Linked DNA regions of Arabidopsis thaliana. The protein of the gene in region 2 interacts with the protein of the main gene of each other region in a pairwise test. Each region holds a gene or a part of one and is shown on either strand. Other genes may lie near its edges.

Evidence for each region. Proteins that work in one complex are often made in the same cells at the same time.
Region 1: the proteins of PDLP8 (region 2) and AT1G14990 interact in a protein complementation assay, tested with the Arabidopsis thaliana proteins (one large-scale study listed by BioGRID).

The regions. Positions count from the first base shown.
Region 1 is NC_003070.9:5,166,415-5,169,978, reverse strand, and holds AT1G14990 (uncharacterized protein), read left to right. Parts: upstream 1-1,714; 5' UTR 1,715-1,827; coding exon 1,828-1,946; intron 1,947-2,099; coding exon 2,100-2,181; intron 2,182-2,276; coding exon 2,277-2,393; intron 2,394-2,454; coding exon 2,455-2,484; intron 2,485-2,574; coding exon 2,575-2,625; 3' UTR 2,626-2,948; downstream 2,949-3,564. Other genes in the region: scpl50 (serine carboxypeptidase-like 50), read right to left, coding at 32-1,366; CPN10 (chaperonin 10), read left to right, coding at 3,325-3,429, 3,516-3,564.
Region 2 is NC_003074.8:22,440,200-22,443,954, forward strand, and holds PDLP8 (plasmodesmata-located protein 8), read left to right. Parts: upstream 1-1,571; 5' UTR 1,572-1,835; coding exon 1,836-2,562; coding exon of another isoform or gene 2,563-2,579; exon of another isoform or gene 2,580-3,174; coding exon 3,175-3,317; 3' UTR 3,318-3,404; coding exon of another isoform or gene 3,405-3,409; 3' UTR 3,410-3,675; downstream 3,676-3,755. Other genes in the region: AT3G60710 (F-box family protein), read left to right, coding at 1-174, 262-556, 702-842, 923-1,273. UniProt on the Arabidopsis thaliana protein: Modulates cell-to-cell trafficking.

The sequences.
Region 1 (3,564 bases), on a different chromosome or scaffold from region 2:
TCTTACAGAACTAAGTACAAGTACACAATATTTAGATTGAATGGTATAAGCTCGACGAAGTTGTCTGCTTCACATCTTTACCACCGAACAATCCTTTCCCCAAAACCCAACCTTCAATCATATCCCTTGAATTCACAGCTTTATCTGTCGGAACAAAATGACCAGCTCCTGTAACCGCCACGTGGCACAAATTCCCCCATCTCTGAACATAACCAGCGACCACACCGTCTTCATCCTTCCACACACGCCTCTCCGCCGTCGAGAACATTCCCAATCCTGACCAGTTCATAGTCTTCATCCACTCCTCCGTCGAAACGACGCCGTCTCTTAGATCAAGCATACCTTGATACAGCAAGACTTGAGTCCTCTCCAATGCGTACTCCACCATGAACTTTACGCTCTTCATCACGTCTGCCCGCAACACATCTTCTACTTCATCACTACATTCCTCAAAACGAACCGTTTCACTCACTCCCAAAACACGTTTTGCTTCTCTCTGGTTCAAGAGGTCCACCACGAGGTCTGTTCTGTATGGAATCGCCCGTGCCGTGTTGTAGAGCGTCGCGAGTCCTGTCATGTTACTTAGTAGCGTCAACAGTTCGGTCCTCGCGTCTGCTGCTTCACGCCATTTCTGGGACTTCACGAGAGCTACAGATATCTCCTGCGCTTTTTGCAGTTCAACTCTCTGTTTTGCGTTGACCAGACCCGAGTAGTAGACGTTGACCGCATGGGTTTGAACCTGGGTCACCGGGTCGGTCAGCCCGTTTCCAATGGCTAGCCCCTTTAGATTCACTTTCCCATTGGGTTTCTCTTTAAGGATATAGTATCCAATGGCTGGAACGTACTTCCCGGCGTAGCTCTCTCCAGTGAAGTAAACCGGTCGGTTTTCGAAGCTTGGGTTTTGTTCAAGGAACTCCACGAGAGCGGCGTAAAGATGCTCAGCGACCTGTCTCTGATTTGTGGGTATGTCTTGTTGTGAGGCTGCGATGCTGAATCCGACTCCTATTGGGTTATCCACAAAAAGTAGTCCGAATAGACGGTTCCATGCGCCGGGGTTGCGCTCGAGGTCTGTGGCGCGTGAAACTACACGCCAGGGACCGAGCTCGTAAAAGTTGCCAATCATTGAAGAGCAGCCTGGCCCACCTTGGAGCCAAACGAGGAGCGGAGTGTCAGGAAGAGGTGTGGTTGGCTCTTGGGCTTCGTAGAAGGCATAGAACATGGACGAGCCGGGTGCGGGTTTAACCGGGAGGTAGCCAGATTTAGTGGGGAGAGCTTCATCGGGAAATAGCGGTGGCTGAGGAGACTCAACGGAGACGGCGAGGAGGAGAGTGGAAAGCAATATGAAGAGTGTAGTGGCTTGCTCCATTATTTCCACTAATTGGTGACGCCTTTACATAAAGATCCCTTTGTATTATTTCATTTATTTCATTATTTGACTGCAAAACATTACGTTTATGTTTTGTCTTGTATAACATGTGAATTTTTAAATGTGTAACAATAACATTTTTGTCAAGACGTGCTTGCTTACTAACCTAATTGCATTAACATGTGAGTTTTTTAATTTAAAGGTTTTTGTTTGTAGATGATTTTCCATAATGTATATTATTTTAAATTTATTGTTGCCAAAAGAAATAAAATCTAAAAGTTTTATTGGGCCGAAAAGAGAAAAAGGTCAGATAGGCCCATAAAAAGTTGGACAATACAAAGCGTTTACAATTTGTCAATTGCAAATTTCGTGAGATGCTTCTTCTACTCGTCATCTCTGTTTGGTAAAGTGATCACAAGGTGTTCGATATAATACCTGAAAGAGTTTCCGAAGGTGTGAAGATGATGATCTTGGATGTTTGCTCAGAGGTTATAAAGATCCAGAAGCTACGACGGGCTGTCTCTTACGCCGGATTCTACTGCTTCACTGCTGCCCTCACATTCTTCTATACAAACAACACGTAATGTCTTTCGTCCGATCTCAGTTTGCTTCTTTTGGTTGTTCTTTCTTTTCAATATCGGAATTCGCAGATGATTTCAATTTCTGGGTTCTTCTCTTGGTTTCTGCTTCAGGTTTAATTTGATTTAATGTTACTGATTCGAATGTTGTGTAGAACAAGAGCAGGATATTCCAGGGGAGATCAGTTTTATGCATCTTACCCTGCTGGCACCGAACTTTTGACCGACACAGCTAAGGTTTGTCCTTGATGACAATTTTGAGTTGTCGTTTACAGTTTATATAGTTGATTAGTTCTGTGTGGAACTGATGATTGGGGTTTATTGGAGTAAAGCTGTACAAAGCGGCGCTTGGGAATTGCTATGAATCTGAAGATTGGGGTCCTGTTGAATTCTGCATAATGGCTAAGCATTTTGATCGCCAGGGAAAATCTCCATACGTTTACCACTCCGTAAGTTTCTTCAATCTCTTTATGATAATCTCTGTGGTGCGGATATTTTAGTGTTGTAAAGGTCAGTTTCCATAAGTCTAGAATCTTGATGGTACTGACTTTGTGGTGCCATTGATAGAAATGTTTGTCGAATCATGTGGGGTTAGAACCAAGAATTGAGCTCATTTTATTGTGAATGCAGCAATACATGGCTCACCTTCTATCTCAAGGCCAACTCGATGGAAGTGGCTAGTGGCGCCAGCTCTCTTTGTTTCAGCTTTGTGCCTAATCTTGTTATAGCAAATTCGAATCCTGGTATCTTGGAACATTTGTATGGTGTTTGTATAAGTCCGGAACCGTACCATTGGCTTACATGGATTATTCAGATTTGTACTCTGAAAATTAAGAGCATGTAATTCCCGCAGAGGCACAATGTAATAAACATATAGCATAGCAAAGCAACAATCCGGGGAAAAACTTTGGTTACCACCTTGAAAGAAATGGGGAAAACTGACAGAGCAAGAAGCTTTCCATCATCAGCAGAGACGTTTGATAAAAGAAAGGTCAAGATTTCATTCCACGAAAAATCTGCCGAAAATAAACATCTCATTCTGGATGTGGTATATGAAATGGGATTGTACATGGAGTTTGAAAAACTTGGCAAAGAGAATCATGGAAGGAACTAACCATTTGAGCTGCAAGGTCATACAACACTTCCAAGAATTTATTTAGACAAACACAAATGCGACTGGTTTTTTTTAATGAGTGAGGCCCATTAAAGAAATAGTATGATATTATAGGCCCAAACAATCCCAAAACCCTTGGCCTTTTTCTGTCGCGCTAAACCCTACGATCTAGAACCTTCCGTCTTATGTGTCTCTGCCCCAAATTAAAAACTCAGAAACCCTAGAAAATTCCGATTCATCAACTGAGAGAGAAGAAGAATTGAGAAATGATGAAGCGTCTGATCCCAACGTTCAACCGCATCTTGGTGCAGAGAGTCATCCAGCCCGCTAAAACCGAAAGCGGCATTCTCCTACCTGAGAAATCCTCCAAGGTAAAAGAGCTTTGATTTCACGATTTGATTCTTCTGATTTTCGCCTCTTAGATCTGAAAAATAAACATATTTTTGGGTGATTGCAGCTGAACTCAGGCAAGGTGATAGCTGTTGGACCTGGATCAAGGGATAAGG
Region 2 (3,755 bases):
GGAAGATTTGATAAGCCAATTGCCCAATGAGTTGCTGCAAGAGATACTCTTGAATCTTCCCACGAGTGAGTCTGTTAGGACAAGTGTCTTACCGACAAGATGGAGAAATCTCTGGCAAAGTGTTCCTGGTTTGTACCTAATTTCTCGACAGATTCTTAAATTTGTAAACTTGCGGTTAGAATATGTAATTCTGGATGATTTTGATAGTTGTGAGTCTTTCTATCTACCTCACCTTGAGGTTATGCATTTAGGGTTTCGCAGTACACCGAGTGATGTGGTTCTAGAGATGCTTATCTCGTGCTCTCCTGTTCTTCAAGTCTTGAGCATTTGTGATGTTGGAGTTGACTTTTTGAAAGTGCGATCTCAGACGTTAAGGAGCTTGAGTCTATGGACATTTATCTTTAAGGGAGAAAATGATGATGTCTCCTTGGGTGATGATGGAGAATCTGGACTTGTGATTGACACTCCTAGCTTAGAGTTTCTGCGTATCAGAGATTTTCCATTGGAAGACTTCAGAGTGGAAAGTGTTATTTCTTCTATCAAGATGTGTATCGATGTACGGTTTTATGGGGAGATGACTTTTCAAACACGCAAACTTTGCACAAGTTTTTTGCTGAGTTCTCGGAGGTCACAGATCTTAGCATCTCTGGCCATACTCTAGATGCATGTATTTGTTCTTACCAAGTGTTGGTTCTTGACAGGGAACCTATGCTTACACAAAACTGCAACAACTGCCTGAATTCAAGAACTTGACCCGTTTGTACGCTTTTCTCCATACCGACTATTCAGAGATGTTGCCTATATATCTCTCCAGCAGTCCCAACCTAAAATCTATTGACTTGGTAATGATTCCTTCTCTTGGTATTGAGAGTAGCGAGTGACTATATATATTATACATGTCTTATGGTGTTTTCCTTTGTAGGAGCTTCATGGTTATCCAAAGATGGAGGAAATTGCAAGCTCACCAGTGCCAAAATGTCTCCAAACATCCATTGAGAATGTCAAAATAAAAATGACGCCCAAGGCTGACCAAGAGAAAAGCCGAAAAGCTGAAACCGAGGTTGCTAACTACATCTTAGAGAATGCAACACTTCTGAAGCTCACTCTATGGTTAGATGATGAAGAAGAAGACGAGTCTAGCAGCGTCCTTGAGAAAATTCTCACCTTTCAAAATTACTCTTTTGTAGAGGTGAAGATAGGTCGAGAAGCATCGAAATTTCGCCTAGGTTATACATTTGATGAAGCTAAGCACTTTAGTCGTCGTTTTCTTTAAATCTCTTATGATCAATCTAATTAGCCCTTTTGGTCGTGGTCAGGATTTAAAGAAAGTTGTTTCTATCACTTGAAAATTCTCCACTAACTTGATGAGAATATGTGTGATGGAATCGATCTAGCGAACATATACTAATCAAAAGGACATGCCTAAAATGGGACCCTCTTTGCACAAAAGAAGTTTCAAGATATTATTATACCCACAAAACCAAATCTTCTTTAATCATGTCTAAATCATTTTAGGCACTCTTAACAAAACAATAATGTTATCATCCAATTTGTCTACACTTTGGTATTGATTCGTTACAAGTGAATGTTCTAGACCACGTTTGTTGATCTATTATGTAGTTTTGTATTCATCCTAGCTACATTTATATATATCCACTTATTTCTTAACTACGGTATGCATTATACATGTTTGTATTAATGTCGCCGATAAAAGTTTCGGACCCATAGTGATGAATAATCATTCTCGATTATTATTGTTAAATAAAACACTACAAGGAATAAGATAGATCAAAAACGAAAGCTCCTTTGAAAACAATCTCAAAGAACAAGAAAATATGAGAAGACTCTTTCTCTTCTCTCTCCTCTTTTTATTCTTTTACTCATCCTCCTCCTCAAGATCTTCATCAGAATCTCACATCTTCATCTACGGAGGATGTTCACCGGAAAAATACACACCAAACACACCTTTTGAGTCAAACCGCGACACTTTCCTCTCCTCTGTCGTCACTTCCTCCTCTGACGCGTCCTTCAACAGCTTTGCCGTCGGCAACGACTCCTCCTCCTCCTCATCCTCTTCCGCCGTCTTCGGCCTCTATCAATGCCGTGACGATCTCCGATCATCAGACTGCTCAAAATGCATCCAAACCTCAGTCGATCAAATCACTCTCATTTGTCCTTACTCTTACGGCGCTTCTCTCCAGCTCGAAGGCTGCTTCTTACGTTACGAAACAAACGATTTTCTAGGGAAACCAGACACAAGTCTTAGGTACAAGAAGTGTAGTTCCAAGAGCGTTGAGAATGACTACGATTTCTTTAAGCGGAGAGACGATGTGTTGTCGGATCTTGAGTCGACTCAACTCGGTTACAAAGTTAGCCGGTCCGGTTTAGTCGAAGGTTATGCTCAGTGTGTTGGTGACTTGAGTCCTAGTGACTGTACGGCTTGTCTTGCCGAGTCTGTCGGAAAATTAAAGAATCTTTGTGGCTCGGCGGTTGCAGCTGAGGTTTACTTGGCTCAGTGCTATGCTCGTTATTGGGGCTCTGGTTACTATGACTTCTCTTCAGGTCAGTCCATAAATTAAAATCTTTATTTCATTTATTAGCTATTGCTCTAATTTACGTAAGTTCTTTAATTATATTCGTGAATCATGCTTAGTGCCATGATAATATAATTGAAAATTGTAGTAATGAACTGTATAGAAATGTGTGAGAATTTGACAAAATTTAAATTTCCGCCGCTTATAATTGAGAAAATCACAAGTCTAGTCGCTCCTTGGTAGCACGAGAAAGTTGAAGAAATCATAAAATTTTCGTTGCTTTTTTTTTTTTGTAATTTCCACTGGAAAGACACCATTAAGTATTGAATAAAATAGAATTAATCTTTTGAATCATTCGTTGGAAAATTCGAGTATCATGATTATAATATCATTGGTCAGAAAAGAATGTTTTTGCAATATATTATTCTTTTCTTTATAGGCATAGCCACCCATGTCCCCATTTTCAACTTTATTTTATATATTCTTTATAGCTTGATCAATATCACATAGTCCAAAAGTCATTGCATCTTAGAAAATCTAATTCTTAGCTTGATACTATATTGTCCTTATCTTATGTACTTTAATTTGTCACATACAATATTAAGATCTTTTTAAATTTGATCTAATTTTCGTTATTAAGATCCAACGAATGGAGATCACGTGGGGAAATCAATCGCGATCATCGTAGGAGTCATTGCTGGATTCGCAATTCTTGTTGTTCTCCTCTCCCTTTGTAGAAACTCCATGCGTAAGTCTATACTTACTTGCCTAATCTTCACATGATTAAGATTTAAGATCAAATCACTCATTTTTAGTATATATTTAGAAATAAGTATCATGATCTCATAATTTTTCTTATCTGATTTGCAGATTGATATAATGAAAGGCATGATTCGGGATACAAGATTCTAGGGACCTGTTTTTTTTTTTTTGAACTCTCTTGTATTCCACTATTCCTTTTATTTTGTAGGAGGAACACATCCGTTACCGTTCCTTGCTGAAATTTTTGGTTTATCAAAAGGAAAACTATTAGTGACTGATGATATAATGATTTTTAGCTTTGAGGTATTAAATATTTGTATAGTGTGACCCGTATTGTCTGCCTTAAAAAGATGCTAACTTTATTCCATTAACTAGTTTTAGACTAAAATCCACTTTCCTTAGCAGGCGCAATTATTCGATACTCATACTTAGATAAGTAGATTATCATTTCCGGAGAAC